Linked DNA regions of Mus musculus. The protein of the gene in region 1 interacts with the protein of each later gene in a biochemical or structural test. Links are inferred from orthologs where the notes say so. Each region holds a gene or a part of one and is shown on either strand. Other genes may lie near its edges.

The links. The genes of interacting proteins can lie anywhere in the genome.
Region 2: the proteins of Ube2d1 (region 1) and Rnf167 form a complex in vitro, tested with the Homo sapiens proteins (3 studies listed by BioGRID). The link is inferred for Mus musculus from reciprocal best matches to the Homo sapiens genes UBE2D1 and RNF167.

What each region holds. Positions count from the first base shown.
Region 1 is NC_000076.6:71,280,010-71,288,269, reverse strand, and holds the start of Ube2d1 (ubiquitin-conjugating enzyme E2 D1), read left to right. Parts: upstream 1-3,007; 5' UTR 3,008-3,145; coding exon 3,146-3,169; intron 3,170-8,260.
Region 2 is NC_000077.6:70,644,043-70,652,363, forward strand, and holds Rnf167 (E3 ubiquitin-protein ligase RNF167 isoform 1 precursor), read left to right. Parts: upstream 1-3,192; 5' UTR 3,193-3,826; coding exon 3,827-3,910; intron 3,911-3,972; exon of another isoform or gene 3,973-3,986; coding exon 3,987-4,067; intron 4,068-4,365; exon of another isoform or gene 4,366-4,550; intron 4,551-5,178; coding exon 5,179-5,304; intron 5,305-5,402; coding exon 5,403-5,490; intron 5,491-5,632; coding exon 5,633-5,723; intron 5,724-5,869; coding exon 5,870-5,975; intron 5,976-6,083; coding exon 6,084-6,177; intron 6,178-6,721; coding exon 6,722-6,802; intron 6,803-6,879; coding exon 6,880-7,172; 3' UTR 7,173-7,379; downstream 7,380-8,321. Other genes in the region: Slc25a11 (mitochondrial 2-oxoglutarate/malate carrier protein), read right to left, coding at 724-879, 997-1,048, 1,128-1,227, 1,308-1,398, 1,488-1,578, 1,742-1,948, 2,034-2,186, 2,726-2,820; Pfn1 (profilin-1), read right to left, coding at 8,082-8,179.

The DNA of each region.
Region 1 (8,260 bases):
AGTTCAGCTCTACTCTTCCCTCCTCTTCTTCCCTGCCCTCTCCCCTTTCCTTCTGTGCTGGTTAATCTTGGCTGTCAACCTGACTGGACAATCAATTAAATGCAAAATGCAGAGTGAGCGATTTTCTTAGCCAGATTATTCGAAACAGGAAGACCCACCCTAAATGCAGGCTCCACCTTCTGGTGGCGGCTCAGATAAAAGGCGACAAAAGGATAATAGATTTTTCCCTGTTTGCCCTCATTCTTGCTGGCAACCACTCTATCTTGTTCCTTCACCAAGATTAGAACCAACCTTTTGGGCTTCCAAGACACACCGGAGATTAGCAGCTCTCCAGGAATCCTCCAGACCCCCAGCACCAGATTGGTACTGCAGAGACATCCAGACTCATGGACTGAGCAACCACCAGATTCTTGGACTCTCCAGGGTGGGACAGCCATCATTGGACTTCATGGACCATATCCTATATACCAACCTGACAATACACACACACAGACACACGCGCACACACTTTTTTTTTTTCCAAGACAGGGTTTCTCTGTGTAGCCCTGGCTGTCCTGGAACTCACTCTGTAGACCAGGCTGGCATCAAACTCAGAAATCCACCTGCCTCTGCCTCCCAAGTGCTGGGATTAAAGGCGTGTGGCATCATGCCCAACGAGTCCCCTTTTAATATATATCAACTCTACCAGATTTATTCCTTTAGGGAACCCTGACTACTCCCCCTTCCCTTCCCTCTCCTTTCTTCTCTTCTTTTCCCCTCTCTTTGTGTCTCTTCTCCCCACCTTGGTGAATAGATAGAGGAAACTCTCCTGGGGTGTACTTTGTTGAGTCATGTTTAGAAGGATATGTAAGAGTTCATTGGGTAAATGACAAGAAGTCCTTCTACACCGTGAGTGATGCACAAAACCAAAGCATTCACCAACGACAGCAGGTAAGCTAGAGTTGGTGATGAATTGTGATGGACATTTGTGGCTTGTGGGTGTCTACATCTTTGAGGGAGAAGATGATTCAATCAGTGACTCGTGGAGCAGCCCGTAGGACCTACTGGAAGAGAGACAACTTGATGTCCCTGTCTTGAACCCTCAGTGACTTTCAAATGAAAGGCTCCTACCCACAGGGATACTGGAGGGTGTGCTTTTGGGATGGCTTAGTACCAACCTCCAAATCATCTTGCAGGAAGAAGAACTGTCTGGCAAGGAGTTACTGGGAAGCGATGCTTTCCCATGATGGTAGCAGGTAACCATGGCCTCACTTACAACATGACATCCAAAAGCCATTGGCATGGGAACACAGCACTGAATGCATCAGGAGCCCGAGACCAGCCTGCACATCTCTGACTTCATTAACAAGGTCACCATTTGGAAAAATATAAAGGTAGTCTTCCAGTTCTAGCGTGCAGGATGGTGCTCAGGTGTCCAGCTAGTCTCTGTACAACTCTTTGTAGGAGTCAGGACTTAGCTACTATTTTCCAGAAGTCTCTTTGATCAGTAGTGTTTTCTAACACTCCTGAGCTGGGGTTGGGATATGATCAATGAAAAGTGGTTCGCTGTGTACTTATTCTAGTGTGCATGAGACCCTGAGTTCCATGATCTGACACAAGAAGGGTTGATTTATGGTTTGGTCTCTAGCTAAAAAGATGAATTGCATTAATGCCACTCTTCTTTTGGGGTGAGATAAAGCAGTAATAATAATTAATAATAATAATAAGTGGGAAGACAATGTCTATAAAGTGTTGACAAGCAAGCATAAATGTAGGCATGGTGGGGCTTGTGTGTAAAATCAGTGCTGAGCAGGTAAAGACAGCAGATACCTGGCCAGGTTAGCCCAATAGGTGAGCTCCAGGTCCCTGTGAGAGACTCTGTCTCAAAAAACAAGGAGTACAGCTCCTGGGAAATAATTTCACAAACACACACACACACACACAAGGGGAGGGGGGGCGGATGGACAGGAAAGTAGACCAATATGCAGACAGAGCAGGACTGCTTGAGGGGACCTCTGCAAAGCACAGTCCCTCGAAGCTTTCTGGGCCGCAACCCATCTCTAGTTTCTGCAGAGGGCGTGGGGCTGGTCTTCTGTGGACCACTGCAAAGGCGGAGAAGAGAACTTCCCAGATGTGGCTGATCCAGCTGCAGAGACACTGTGGAAGCCGCGACAGTGAGCGTTGAGTGTTTTGAGAAGCAATATGGGATTCAAAACCATTTTAGATAAGGAATGGATTGACTTTAGTCATCAGAAACCTAAGACTGACCAACGCCGTCAGAAATCCAAGACTGACCTGCAGGTGCCAAGCCAAGAAGTCATGGTTGAAAGGACAAGCAAGATCTGAGATCACAAGAACTGAGAAGGGGCTGGAGGACACCTCAGTGGGTAAACTGCTTGCCGCAAAGCCTGAGGACCTGAGTTCGGATGCCAGAGACCACGTAACGGTTGGGTGTGTGGAAAGCTGTCTTCAATCCCGTTTTTGGGAGGTGGAGACAAAAAGACATAAAGGAAAACCCTGTTTCAAAAAAAAAAAAAGAAAGAAAGAAAGGAAGGAAGGAAGGAAGGAAGGAAGGAAGAAAGAAAGAAAGAAAGAAAGAAAGAAAGAAAGAAAGAAAGAAAGAAAGAAAGAAAGAAAGAAAGAAAGAAAGAAAGAAAGAAAGAAAGAAAGAAAGAAAGAAAGGTGGAGTACAATTGACGAAGACTCCTCACGCCCTCAGGGGCGAGCGGGGAAGAGTCAGAATTATCTGCAAAGGAAGTTAAGATCCGCCGCAGGGTCTGTGCGAGGAGGAGCGAGCCGTGGTTCACAGCAGCTCCTAGGAGCGACAGCTCACCTGCTGTCTGGGTTTTTGCAGATTCGAGACCTTGCTCTGCAGAGCGGCTGCAGGGAGCGGCAGCAGCCTGGTCGCAGCTGTCACCCACGGGTGACCGGACGACGTCCGCGCGGGCGGCAGAGGCCGAGCCTGGGACTACACTTCCCAGTGTGCCAGGCGGGCGGGGCGCGGCGGGGAGGGCGCAGGCTCCTTCCCAGCAAGCGAAGGCGGAAACAAAAGAGTCCGGCGCCGCCGCCCGCACACTCGCGCACCGCGCCCGGGCGCACACGGAGCAGCCCTGCGAGGCGGCAGCCCGGGACACGCGGACACTCCGCAGCCCCCGCCGCCTGCCCCATGGCGCTGAAGCGGATCCAGAAAGTGAGTGGCTGCCAGAACCGGCCTGGGTGTCCCCAAGATGTCCCCAGGAACCCGGGGCGCACGGTGTGGGAGGGGCGCGGACACTGGGGAGGCCGGGGTACGGATCGGCCCGCACAGGTGAGGCGTGCATCCGCAAGGTCTGGGTACTTGGAACCTCGGGGCGACCCGATCCGGTCGTGCCCTTTCCAGGATGAGCCTAGAACCTCGGGTGCGGGTGCCCGTGGGGTGGCCAGATTGTCCCGGGGTGTGTGCATCCCCGCTGGGCCGGGGCTTGCTCTGCAACGGGCGGCCTTCGTCCCCTATCCCGCTGTGCGTCCTCACAATGTCCCCGGAGCCCTCCTTGCTGTGTTCGCACCCCGGGTTCCCCGAGAGGGCAGGGAAGGTGTGGTGGGCCTACGGCCTTTATTCTCAGAGCGTGGGGCTGGGTCTTTCTGGGCTCTGCAGTCGGCTGGTGCTCAGTGGGAGGAAAGGGCTGGGAACGCGAGATTGGGGCCGAGGAGCCAGCAGAGAGCTCTTGCCCCTGCTATTTTGGTGGTTCTGCACGCAGCTGCCACTTCAGGTCACATAGCTGTACTGAGAACATAGTTGCTGATACACAGCAAGATGAGCTCCTGGCTGTGATTCATGGCTAGGTAAGCTAAGCAGGTTGTTGGTTTTGTTTTGTATTTTTTTCTTCACACCCTCACGATAAACTTAGATGTAGAGTTGAAGACACAACACTAAGGACCACAAATTAAATTGTTTGGATGCTTTGATGTGTGAATAGAGAATGAGGAAGACAATCGAAGGGACAGTCAGTCCTTACATAGGATCGGTTCCAACCCTCTCTTTGTATTCTTTACCGCACCCACTTCTCTTGTTGGCCTGTCCCCTATCTCAAGTATCTTTTAACATTTTACAGCGGTAGTCCTTGCTGCTGGGAACGTGGTGTTTGGGATCGCTTTAGAAGCAAATGCGCCAACAGTGGATAATGTGTTTGGTAATTGATTTCACAAGAAATGGTTGGCTCCCCAAACGTTTTATCAACCTTTCCAGCTACACTTGACTGAAAATGTTCTGAGTTAGAGTGGTAGGAAACAGGCATCTTTCGGTACTGAGGACAGCAACTTTTACCCGCAGCCAAATTTTCGTTTGTTTTTTGTTTATTTGTTTTTGTTTTTGTTTTGTTTTTGTTTTTTTTTTTTTTTTTTAATAAACCTTAGCTGTGTAGATCATCGCTGTTCTTTGTGCCGCTGAAGGTCAACTCGGTATAAAATGTTAAGATCAGCGTTTATTAAATAATGACGTTTTCTCGTTTGAAGATAACACGGTGGCACTTTATTTTTAACCATATAAACAAGCTTAATTTTGAAGCTGCAATCGTCATTACCGTGCCGATTTCTGAACGCCGACCAATCTACTGTTGGTTCCCATTTGGAAGTTTTCAAACTTTGCTTCCTTTCATGATGGTGAAGCATTTCCATGTGGCTTTGCACTCCTCTTCTCTCTCTCTGTCTCTCTCTGTCTCTGTCTGTCTGTCTGTCTCTCTCTCTTTCTCTCTCTCTCTCACACACACACAGTAGCTCTTAGATACCAAAGGAGTTATCTATAGTATATATCCATCCAGAGAAATAAGACATTATTTTATGTGTAGGCTTGATGCATCTTGTTGCTCATGCTAAGCCTGTGTATTTGACTTATGTTAATATGGCAAATTTCCACATCTTCTTTCTCTCTTCCTTCCTTCCTTTCTTTTGTTTAGTAGATACTGTGTGTTAAACAGAGTTGTCTAGTATGAAGATAACCTTAAATACAGCTGATGGGGAATCTGTGACAAACTGGTATTTTGGAGAAGACACCAGAGGTCACATGATCCTATAGTCCTGTCATTGACTGCCACAAATCACATCAGTCATACAAGCCAGCCACCCCTTCCCCCCCACCCCCCACCAGCTGATTCTCCCGTTTTCTTCCTTCCTTGCCTGTCATCTTGCTTAGAACCAAGTCTAGGGTGGACAGGCTGCACCGGGGGCAGCTACAGTGCCCTCTGACATCCTGTGTTCAGATTCTCATTTGAATCACGTTCAAATGTTGAGTTCAATGCTCACCTTTGGCCTTAAAAAAAAAAAAGATTTATTTTTAGTGTGCGTATCTGTGAGTACGTGCCACATGTGTGAGGGTGGCCACAGAGGCTAGAAGAAGGAAGAGAGGACAATCAGGTATCCTGATGCCAGAGCCATTGGCGGATGTGATGTGAGCTGTCTAGTGTGAGTGCTGGGAATTGAACTTGGGTCCTCTGGAGGAGTAATAAATGTTCTTCACTGCTGAGCCATTTCTCAAGCCCCTACCCCCCTCCTCCTCTTCTTCCTCCTCCATCTTCTTCTTTTGAGTATCTTTTAAAGCAATCAGAAAACTTCAGGCCATTGGGCAGTGCTATTTCTTTACCTAAAGTATCAGGCCTCAAAGCTCATAGAACTCCAGGTTTGCAGTGGTGTAGCCAAGAGTGCAGGCAAAGAGACAGTCCCTAGGGCAGGGAGCAGAGTCACAGCAGAGCCCAGGGCTGCCAGTGGAAAGATGCTGAACCTCCAGGTTGAGGTGGGGTTAACATGGAAAGGTCAAAAGCCCTGATGTTCTCCTCTGTTCTCTTTATTCAAAGAGGGAACCTGAGGCGGGAGTTGGGACGAGTTTTTCCCAGGCTTAATCTCTTGAGAAGTGATTTGGCACATTTGAGAATAATGGTCACAGCTTCTCATTTCTCCACCTATGAAAAGAACAAAGATGATGTTGGATTAAAACTGTCTTTCTACAAAGCGTGTGGACATAGGCGCTTCAAATAGATCCCCATGCTGGAGTAGACTAAAGGATTTAATGCTCTAATTTAGACACCCTGTGCCAGTTCTGCATTTCAGCTCATAAATTTACACACCCGTGGCCTATTTTTAGACATAGAGAAAGATGTTATTACAGCCGCCTAAATCACTGAAGGGATAAAGTTTGAGCAAAATCGGAGGGGAGAAGCCTGCGGTAGATTTGACAAAAGAGAGCAGCTTTCAGTTGGGTGTCTATTGTTAGTTGTTTTTTAGGTGTTTCTTTGGTGAACACTGTTTTTCAGTCCTCAGTACATTTTGCTTTGAAAAAAAAAATCACCTTTTTTAAACGATAAATGTTACAATACAATACCGAACACTTTGAGACCCGAGGGAGAAAGAACCCTAATACAGCTGCCATCAACATCGTAGTCTCTGTCTCCTTTTGTGTTTATTTTCCAGAAGGAATTTTAGGTAATAATCTGCTACGTGCTATGTACTAGACCTCGGCCTTTTTTTTTCTTTTGGTCTATCTTCTGAAGAGTGAGACAAAAGGCTTTTCTTTTACAAATATCGTGACACATAATTATCCTTCCCTGTATAGTGTTCTGTCCCAAAATGAAACATTTGAGCCTGGGAGTGTGGCTCAGTGCTAAGACACACACCTACTGCTTTCAAGGCTCCGAGTTCAGCTGCCTGTGCCCACAAGAATAAATAAGTTGCCCTTGTATCCAAAAATCGAACATTTGGCTTTTTAATAATTAACCTAAATTGTGTGCACGAAGGTAAATTAAAATGCAGGTTTTGTCACTGTTTTGAGCTGCTCTGATTTTGACTCGTAGGCTTTCTGAATCACAGCGTCTGTGTTGCTCTAGGAAGCACCGTATCTTCCGCAGCCAGGCCCTCTGTGCCTGCGCCATCAAGGTCAAGAGAGGACCCAGGTTTTGTTCCCGGCTCTGTGACTGACTTCAGTTTTTCTTACCCATCCATGTCCCAAAGGATGACAACCACCGCTGTGTGCGGAGGTCGCTCTGCCTAACACCATGCCAAAAGCTTACCTTTCATGAGCTGTCTGACCCTTCATGAGGCAGTAGAGCTAGAAACAATCTGATTCCCGTTCTGCAGATGATGAAACAAAGGCAGGAGATGTTAACTGGAGTTCACAGGATCACATATCTGGCATAGGGAAATGGCTAGGATTCCAAACGGGACAGTATGCCATAAGCACAGACCTCTCCCTCCATCATATGGACCGTTATGTTGTTGGGTGTTTGTTTGTTTGTTTGTTTTTAACTGAAAGACATGAAGTCAATTGGCAAAGTGCTCACCTGGTATGCACACATCCCTAGCATGGTGGCTCCCTCCTGTTATCCCAGTGTTCTGGAGACAGGGTTGGGAAGTTCAAGGTCACCCTCAGTTTCATACAGAGCTGGAGGTCAGCCTGGACCAGAAGAGACCCTATCTCAAAGACAAACACATAAGAAAGATTTAAGTCAGATGAATTGATGGAGACGAGTGCTCAGCGAGATGATGTTCAACCCTGTAATTAGAACTCTGCATGTTTAATTGCCACCACAGCTCAGCGCTGAGTGACGACGCTCAGTCACCCTGCTCCTCAGAGATGACCCTTGTCACTAAACACTGGAGAATAACAGCTTCATTCATCTTCCCCATACCCCTGGAAACGTTGACTCCTTCCAGAGGGATTTAGAAAAACAACTGCTTAGAGTTCTTTAGATAGTCTGATGGTAGCCTTATTGTGGAATTTTCATTTGCCATAATTGTGAATTGGTCTGATCGTTTAAGTGCCTGTCGTGGCTTTGAGTACTAATTCACATTAGAAGATCAAATGAAAGATTACAGAAGGAGAGAGCCCCGAAGAAAACACACGGAGCCCAGCATCTTTATTGTCTGTAGATGATCAGTTTGCCTCAAGAGGAGAAGAAGCAGTATTCTTTCTGGAGGAAGAATCCGTGGTGGGAATTTTCCTGTCCTTAAGCCCCTATAATTAAACTCTATCTTTTGCCACTGTCTGTACTTTTTTTTTTCCTTTATGATAACAAAGGTAGCTTAAATGTTCTGAAACTCCTTCTCTGAGGAGATATAAGTAGCATAGACTTAGATGAGACTATTGACGTCTGTTCTCGGGAGCCAGACATGTAAAGACCAAGGGATGGATGTAGATTGCCTCCAGGAATCAAGGAGCATCCTTGCCCCTTCCGGCTCCCTGAAATACACAGAAAGCATTGGGGCCTGTATTTTCATTCAGTGTTGCTAATCAAAAGTGATACAGGGAAGTTCATGG
Region 2 (8,321 bases), on another chromosome or scaffold:
GGGTTTCTCTGTATAGCCAAGATGGCCTCGAACTCAGAAATCTGCCTGTCTCTGCCTCCCGAGTGCTGGGATTAAAGGCCTGAGCCACCACTGCCCAGCGCTGCTGCTTCTTCTTCTTTTCTGTCAGCTGTTGAGTTACGACTTTACACAGCATTTTCATAAAACCAGTAGGTGACTTTCTTTAATTATTTTGTTAAAACTCCAGTTTGTTTTCCAGAGATATAAGCTTCTTTGTGCAGCTACCTCCCCCTATGATCCTTAAGACTATCCAGATTTGGGGTTGGTATTTCAATCCAATTTATTAAGTCCTCAGGGAGGAGGAAGGCCACATCTTCCACCATAGACCCTTTGTCATCTTGACAGCTTCTGCTTTCTCCTGTCTCCTCAGCTCTGCCTTGGATTCCCCAGAGAGAGGGATCTGCTGTCTGGTGTGCCCTGAATCTAACACCCAAGAGGAGACTAGAAATCCTTGGTGTGTGTCTTAGGTCTCCTCAGGAAGAGCCAGGGGCAAAGTGATTCTAAGCATCAGGCAAGCACAGCAGGCAGGCTGGAGTAGGGGGAGAACAGACTAAGTTCTTTACCGCAAAGGAGAAAACCACACTGGAGAGGGAAAATAAATAGAATAGCCCAGGGTAGCAGAATCCAGGTCCTCCAGGGCATAGCGACTGTAATAGCAGTGGATGGCTTGGAAGCCTGGCACACTAGTCCTGGGACCATGCCAGATCAGCCACTGAGGAAGAGACGCTTGTAGGCCTTGTTCATCTGTTCCAAGAAGATGAAGGTGAGGACAGTGTGGGGGCCCAGTCGGGCATAGTATGGTGTGAAGCCCTTCCACAGGCTGAAGAAACCCTCATAGCGGACGACTTTCAGCAGCACATCCTAGACAGACAGGCAGGCAAGTGCTGGGGCTAGGCCCTGGTCCTGGTCCAGGCTCTGTCCCCTGTCCCTAGCTCCCTTCGCATCCCTCCCAGGGCACCCCTTCCCCCCCCTCCTCACCAGCCCATTCTTGTATTCTGGCTTCCCATCAATCATCCGCATATTCTGGATCCTGAAAGAGAGTCAGTATGAACATGAAAACCAGAAAGGGGGGCCTCCCCAAGTTCTCCAGTCCCAGGCTGCAGACTCACCTAGTTTTGACGATGTCCACAGGCATGGAAGCAGCAGTGGTAACGAGGCCACTGATCATGCTGGCGCAGAAGTGGCAGAGAATATTGTCAGAGAAGTAGCCTGGGAGGTGAAGCAAAAGGTGGTAGTCAACTCTCAGGTAGCTCAGGCCAGGCTCAAGTTCTCAGCTCTGGGTCTCTCACCTGAGTCCAGCAAGAACTGCTTAGATTGAGAGTAAGAGGCAAGCTGGGCGGCATTGACAACGACAGCTCGAGCCATGGTAGGGATGCAGCCCTGGAGGTGGAGGGTGGAGGCAATGGAGACAGTCAAAAGTGCCAGAGATCTAACCCAGCATGGCCCAAGACTCCAACCCTCGCACTCACCCGCCACAGTGTGGGGACTCCTTCTTCCCTGGCAATCCTAACTAGGGCATTAAACACATTTTTGTAGCCACGGCGCTGGTCAGCTGGAAGCCTGGGGGAAAGGCAGGGAAAGGCCAAGATCAGGACAGACCAGGGTCCATGGAACAAAGAAAGGGAAGCCTGAATAGGTAAGTGCCCTGATGTAGATATAGACTAACAACACCATCCTAGAGTCCAGGAATGGGGCTGGAGTTAAGCTCAGAAACGGAACTCACCGACCATCAGCAGTCATCCTGATGAGAGCCACCTCAGCTGGCGTTCCCACAAATGCACCAGTTGCACCTGCAGTCATGCCAATCAGGGCTTTCAGAAGAAAGCCAGGGGGTGTACCATCAGCCCCAGTCAGGCGCTCAAACAACACAGTATATATTCCAAGGCGAGTAGTGGTGTAGGTGGCCTGGCGCAGTAGACCAGCTGACAGCCTGAAGAGTAGAAATGTCAGCACATCAGGCCAAGGTCTGGACCTGCCAACCAACAACTTCCCTCCCCAACTTGAGGCCACAGTACCCAGTGTAAATGCCCTTCAGGCCTTCTGTCTTCAGGATGCTGGTGAGGGCATGGAAACTGGTTTTGTACTCTCGAGTCTTGGCCCCTTCACCACTCAACTGCATCCGGTTCTTCACCAGGTCCAGGGGCTGCACAAAGACTGTAGCACCCATCCTGAAGTGAGGCAGGAAAGGGAATCAGAGGTCAGTGGTTCCAGCTCTACTGCAACCTGGCAAGAAGTTACAAAGGTCAGGGCCACTAAGGATTCAGGAGGCTGGTGGGCATGTGTGTTAAGTGTGTGCATCAAGGGCAACGTGCCAGCAAAAGAGTCCAGTTGCCCAGTAAGGGGCATGCAAATCAAAAAGCCTCAGGCAGTTCTTTAGGGTTCAAGCAGAATTAGGACTACAGGCGATCTAAAGAAAGGTGGAGAGGGCGTCCCCATCCTAAGACTCCAAGCAGTCCTATAACAAAGCCTTTAATGACCTATACCCACCACCCAAACAGGCACAACGAAGCAAAGGTGGTGGAAACACAGGGTAAAGATCCTTGAATGCAGCACAGTTGGGTCCCTGCAAAGGATGAATAGATCCTGGCAACCCATCAGGGACCCTGCACCGGCTCAATTTACTGCAACACACCCCAAGTTACACTGGGCCCAGGTGCTTGCTCCCGTCCCTTCCTCCTTTTCCCCCATCACTGGGGCCTGAGCTTACCCAGCCAGGCCCCCAAACAGGAACTTGACAGACTTAGGGGAGGTACGGGGTTTCCCGTCCATCCGGCCAGCCCCAGGACTCGCCGTCGCCGCCATCGCCCCTTGATGGCCCTCGGCTTTGGGTCCCGTGCACGTACAGCCCCGCTCGCGCCCAAGGTGACACCAGCGCGCAACAGGGTGAGGGCGCGCGCGCGCACGCCCCTCCGACAGGCAAATCTGGCTCCAGCTGGAAGCTGGGGCGGGCGCAGGCTCGGAGCGCAAAGGCAGCCGGGGAATAAGGCGGGGCTAAGATGCACGATGAAGGGGCGTGGCCGATTTAGGAAGCTACCCTAAATTCCCGCCCCTCCGGAATTGGAATCGCGGGGAAAAAAAAAAAAAAAAAGCTTGTTTGAAAACCTCGCGAGAGCAAGTGAATCAGCCGAGTTCGGGCTATGAGGCCTCTCGCGATATATTTCAGCGGCGAAAGGGGGTGGGGGGGTGGAGGGAGGGTGGTGGCAAGCACTCTCGCGATACTTTGAACGTACCGTGGCGGCCAGACGAAGGAGAGGTTTGTAAACAGGGCAGCTCCAGGATCTCAGGGACTGAGGGAAAAAAACTAGATCGTCTCCTGAGCATCGAAGCTCCCTCCATCTCCGCAGGCTCCTTCTACATGTCAAACATTTCTTTCAACCGGCCTCTCGGGACCGGAAGTCCTCCGTCCTGAGCGTCCAATACTGGAATTGGCCTTTCTTACCGGAAACCCTTTTCCAGGGGCATAGGAAGACAGTCTACCTGGCCGGAAGTCCCACCTCTTTGAGGTTTCTCCTACCCTTCCGGAAGTTTTTTTGTTGTTGTTGTTACCTGTTTGCCTTCGCTCCTATTCTGTCCTATTTCTGTACTAGAGAAAGATACATTGTCTCCCCTACCAGCTCCGCTAAGCTGGTTTGATAGCTCACTCCCTGAATCGGAGTTCCTTCCCCGACGCCCCCATGTAGCTGAGAAGTGGGACCTAGGGGTGGTTGGACCCCTGGGATCCTGAAGGAGAGGCAGAGGAGGGCGCAGGACTCGGCTTCTGCTCCTGCGATCAGAACGCGACCTTCGCAGCTTTACCCCTCCCGCTGCCATGCACCCTGCGGCCTTCCCGCTTCCTGTTGTCGTGGCTACTGTACTGTGGGGAGCAGCCCCTGTCCGAGGGCTGATTCGAGCGGTGAGTCTGAGGGTCGGACGGGGACAGGGTGCTGAGAATGGGGTTCAGACTGAAACACGTAGTGTTCCGTCTGCAGACTTCGGAGCACAATGCCAGCATGGACTTTGCAGACCTTCCAGCTCTGTTTGGGGCCACTCTGAGCGACGAGGGACTGCAGGTGATGTTTTCCCCATTTCCCTATATGGATCCTGGGTAGGGGCGAAGTGGCCGTGCTCAGGAGGTAGGAAGTAGTGGAGTTAGCAGCGGAATGCAGTGGACTGCGGATAGTTCAATGATAGGGTGCTTTTTCTAGTATGAGTGAGATTCTAGGTTGAATCTCCAGCAAAAAAAAAAAAGTGTCCCCAATCCAGAAAAACCTAAGTGCATGATCATGTCCAGCGCGCAGAGTCCAGAATCCAGAGATAATAGATAGTGCCCACCTCTAGAACTTAACATTTTTTATTTTATATGCATAGGTGTGAGAGTGTCAGATCCCCTGGAACTGGAGTTACAGTCAGTTGTGAGCTGCTACATGGATGCTAGGAACTGAACTCCGGTTCTCTGGAAGAACAGCCAGTGCGCTTAAGCACTGAACCATCTACAACCCCTAGAACTCCCAAGTTTAAGAGGGAGTCTGAGAGTGGGCTAAGATAAAAAGCAGGTGCTTATCAGCAGTCTCTGGAGCAACTTACTGTTTGTATAGATGGCCATGGACAGCTTTTTATGGGTTCTGAGTCAAATGAGAAATAGAAATTAACCTAGGGCTATCGTGCCAGTGTGATAAGCATGTCTGTAGTAGTTCACTACAAAGTTCATGCCACATAGCAAGAATTCATTCGGCCACAGTTAGCAGTAGAGTTGTAAGATGGCTAATTGGAAAATGAAACTTGTTGAAAATGCCATGAATGAGTAGCAAGGTGAACCACTATCGGTGGGAAACTTAAAAGCAGAACTAAACTACGCTTGAGAAGTTAAGGGAGCCTCTGGTAAGGGATGTAGTTTACTGTAACTGCATCTTCAAGAAAGCTGAGAGATCCCTTTTCTTTTTTCTTTTTTTTGAGACTGGACTCTGGAACTCTGGCTGTCCCCAACTCACAGTAGTCTCAAGTGCTGGGATTAAATGCATGTATCACCATGTCTGAGTTGTAGATTCAGTGTTGGGTGGGATGCTCAGACCTCCAGAATGAGCAATGATAGAGCTGCAGAATGCAGGTAGTATATAGTGTTATGTGTGGTAGGTCCTGTGGAAGACAGAACTAAAGATGAAAATGTTTGCCTTTATCCCTCAGGGGTTCCTTGTGGAGGCCCACCCAGAAAATGCCTGCGGTCCTATTGCCCCACCACCCTCAGCCCCGGTCAATGGGTCAGTCTTTATTGCACTGCTTCGAAGATTCGACTGCAACTTTGACCTCAAGGTTGCTGAATGGGGAATGGGAGGTGGTAAGCAGGGTACATGACACCAGGAATGAAGGGCAAGGGTTACAGCTCTATCCCTCCCGCTTGGCCTCCTTAGGTCCTAAATGCTCAGAAGGCTGGGTATGGTGCAGCTGTGGTGCACAATGTGAATTCCAATGAACTGCTGAACATGGTGTGGAACAGCGGTAAGGAAGAAGCCTGCACTACTGGGTGCACCGTGGAGTTGAGTGGGAGGGCAATTGGTTGAGATCTGCAAAAAGTGCCAAAAGCCAGTTTCAGGGAATTGAGGAACAGAAGGCTAAATCCCTAATATCCTGCTCCTTACAGAGGAAATCCAACAGCAGATCTGGATCCCATCTGTATTTATTGGAGAGAGAAGCGCAGAGTACCTACGAGCCCTTTTTGTCTACGAGAAGGGGTAGGACGCATGCTTTCTTCCAGTTCTTCTCAATCCACTCAGGCTCAGGCTCTTCCTCGGCTGCCTTGACTTTCTCCTCATTATGCCTTGTCCCAAGCCAGTAACCCTATTTTACCTGGCTTGAGGTTGTGTCTCTCTCTCCTCAGGGCTCGGGTGCTTCTGGTTCCAGACAACAGCTTCCCCTTGGGCTATTACCTCATTCCTTTCACTGGGATTGTAGGATTACTGGTTTTGGCCATGGGAACAGTATTGGTAAGTAGCTGAGGAGAACTTACGATGCCAGACTGGATCGGTAGAGGGGAGGGTTTATTGCATTTTCCAATCATTTTTTAAGCCTGGTCCACTCTTCCTTATCCCTAGATAGTTCGTTGCATCCAGCACCGGAAACGGCTTCAGCGGAACCGACTTACCAAAGAGCAACTGAAACAGATTCCTACCCATGACTATCAGAAAGGTAAGGGCAGGAGAAGGGGCCTTTCTCCTAGCTGGCCTCATCTTGAAGGATTTTTGAACCCAGTGAGTAGATAAAGGGTTCAAAAAAGAACCGGAAAGGTGCCACCTTTGCTTGGTTAAAAAAAAAAAAAAAAAAAAAAAAAAAAAAAAAAGATGACCAACCAACCACAAGCAAAGGAGGTAGGGTAGAGCAGGCGCTGGAAAGCAGAGATGAACAAAGGAAACTTGACTTTGTGTGTGGGGTGTAAGAGGTGTAAGAGCCAGAAGAACTCAAAGCAAGCAGGTGAGGGGTTGGGTTATCTAGACTTGGAGCCTCCAGTACCATATAAGGCTATAGCAAACGCCTCGCCCCTCCCAGTTCTGCTTTCCCCTCCTACCCCCCCCCAACTCACTTCCCTTATCTCTGCTTGTCCCCTCTAGCCCCAAGATTTTATGTGGTGCCCTAAGTTTGCACTGGCTTGGTAGAAAACGGGGCAATAAGACTTGTACAGTGAGTTTTCTTGGGCGTGACTGCCAATAGTTGAGTGAATCCTTTCCTTTCCCAGGAGATGAATATGACGTCTGTGCCATCTGTCTGGATGAATATGAGGATGGGGACAAGCTTCGAGTACTTCCCTGTGCTCATGGTAAGGCCCACATGTGCCTGTGTCTGTGTTCCTGCCCAACCTGCAGAGACCAGCCTTTCATATAAACCACTCCACAGCTTATCACAGTCGCTGTGTGGACCCCTGGCTCACTCAGACCCGCAAGACCTGCCCCATCTGCAAACAGCCTGTACATCGGGGTCCTGGCGATGAGGAGCAGGAAGAAGAAACTCAAGAGCAAGAGGAAGGCGATGAAGGGGAGCCAAGGGACCAACCTGCTTCAGAATGGACCCCACTCCTGGGCTCTAGCCCTACTCTTCCCACCTCCTTTGGATCCCTAGCCCCTGCTCCCCTGGTCTTCCCTGGGCCCTCCACAGATCCCTCACCTCCTTCATCTGCTGCCCTGGCCTGACACCCCCATACTTGGTACCTCTGGTGACCGTCCTATTTGCACAAACTCTTTTTCCAGTCTAATAAGCTGAGGGTGAGGGATAGGGGACATTCTACCCCAGGTTCATGAACCCAGCCTCATCCTTTTGAGGGGGCTAGAAGCCATAGGGACATGGTTTTCATTTCTTGGATTAATAAAATTGGTTTTTTTTTGTGGATGAAAAAAAAAGGTTAAGATCATCTTTACACAGGTGAAATTCTGGAAAAATAATCACCTCATAGGATGAACTTGTCGGGGAGAGCCCTAGCTGCATTTGCTATGACTCAGGGAGGGGAGCCCCACCTACACAGGATGACTCAAGTGGCCCTGCCTCACCCGCAGGCTTGGACCCATTCTCTGGTCTGGATGGCTATGTTCCATTACATACTAATTCAACTGGACCTGAAAATGGAAATACCACTATAGAGGGGCCTAGGTCACATGACTAAGTACACAGAAGAATGCCTACTTAGTTTAGTCCTTGGGGCTTAGAAAAGGAAATAAGACTGGAAATAAGAGTTCATTCTGGACACAGCCAAGAAGCAGGTACCTAATTGAGGTGGGTCACTGTGCTTGTCTCCCAACTAATGCCAAGTGCAAACCAACACAGGTCCTTGTTAGTAGAATCTTTTTTTATTCAGAAAAAAAAAAAAAAAAAAAAGACCAAAAAACAAAAAATGAAACCCAAAAACAAAAATTTTCCAAACACACACAGGAGGGGGTATGGGTAGGGGGAGGTGTCTGTCCATCCAGCCCCAGCCCCCAGCCCATGTGGTTTTGGCAGCAATAAGGGAAATGGGGTAATGGCCCAAAAAATAATGGTATGTGTGTGTATGGAAAGAAGGGGGTGCAAAAGCCAAAGGGAACGGTGGGGGGAAGGGACAGATGAGGTCAGTACTGGGAACGCCGCAGGTGAGAGGCCATTTCATAACATTTCTTGTTGATCAAACCACCGTGGACACCTTCTTTGCCCATCAGCAGGACTAGCGCTGGAGGAAAGAAAAAGGAAGCTAGGACCCAGGTGTCACAATTCAACCCTGCCAGCTGTTCAGCAGCTGTCTGGCCCCGGGGGTTGTAACCTAACCTCAGCCCTCCTAACCAGCCCTCCCCCCCTTATACACAGGCAGGCTG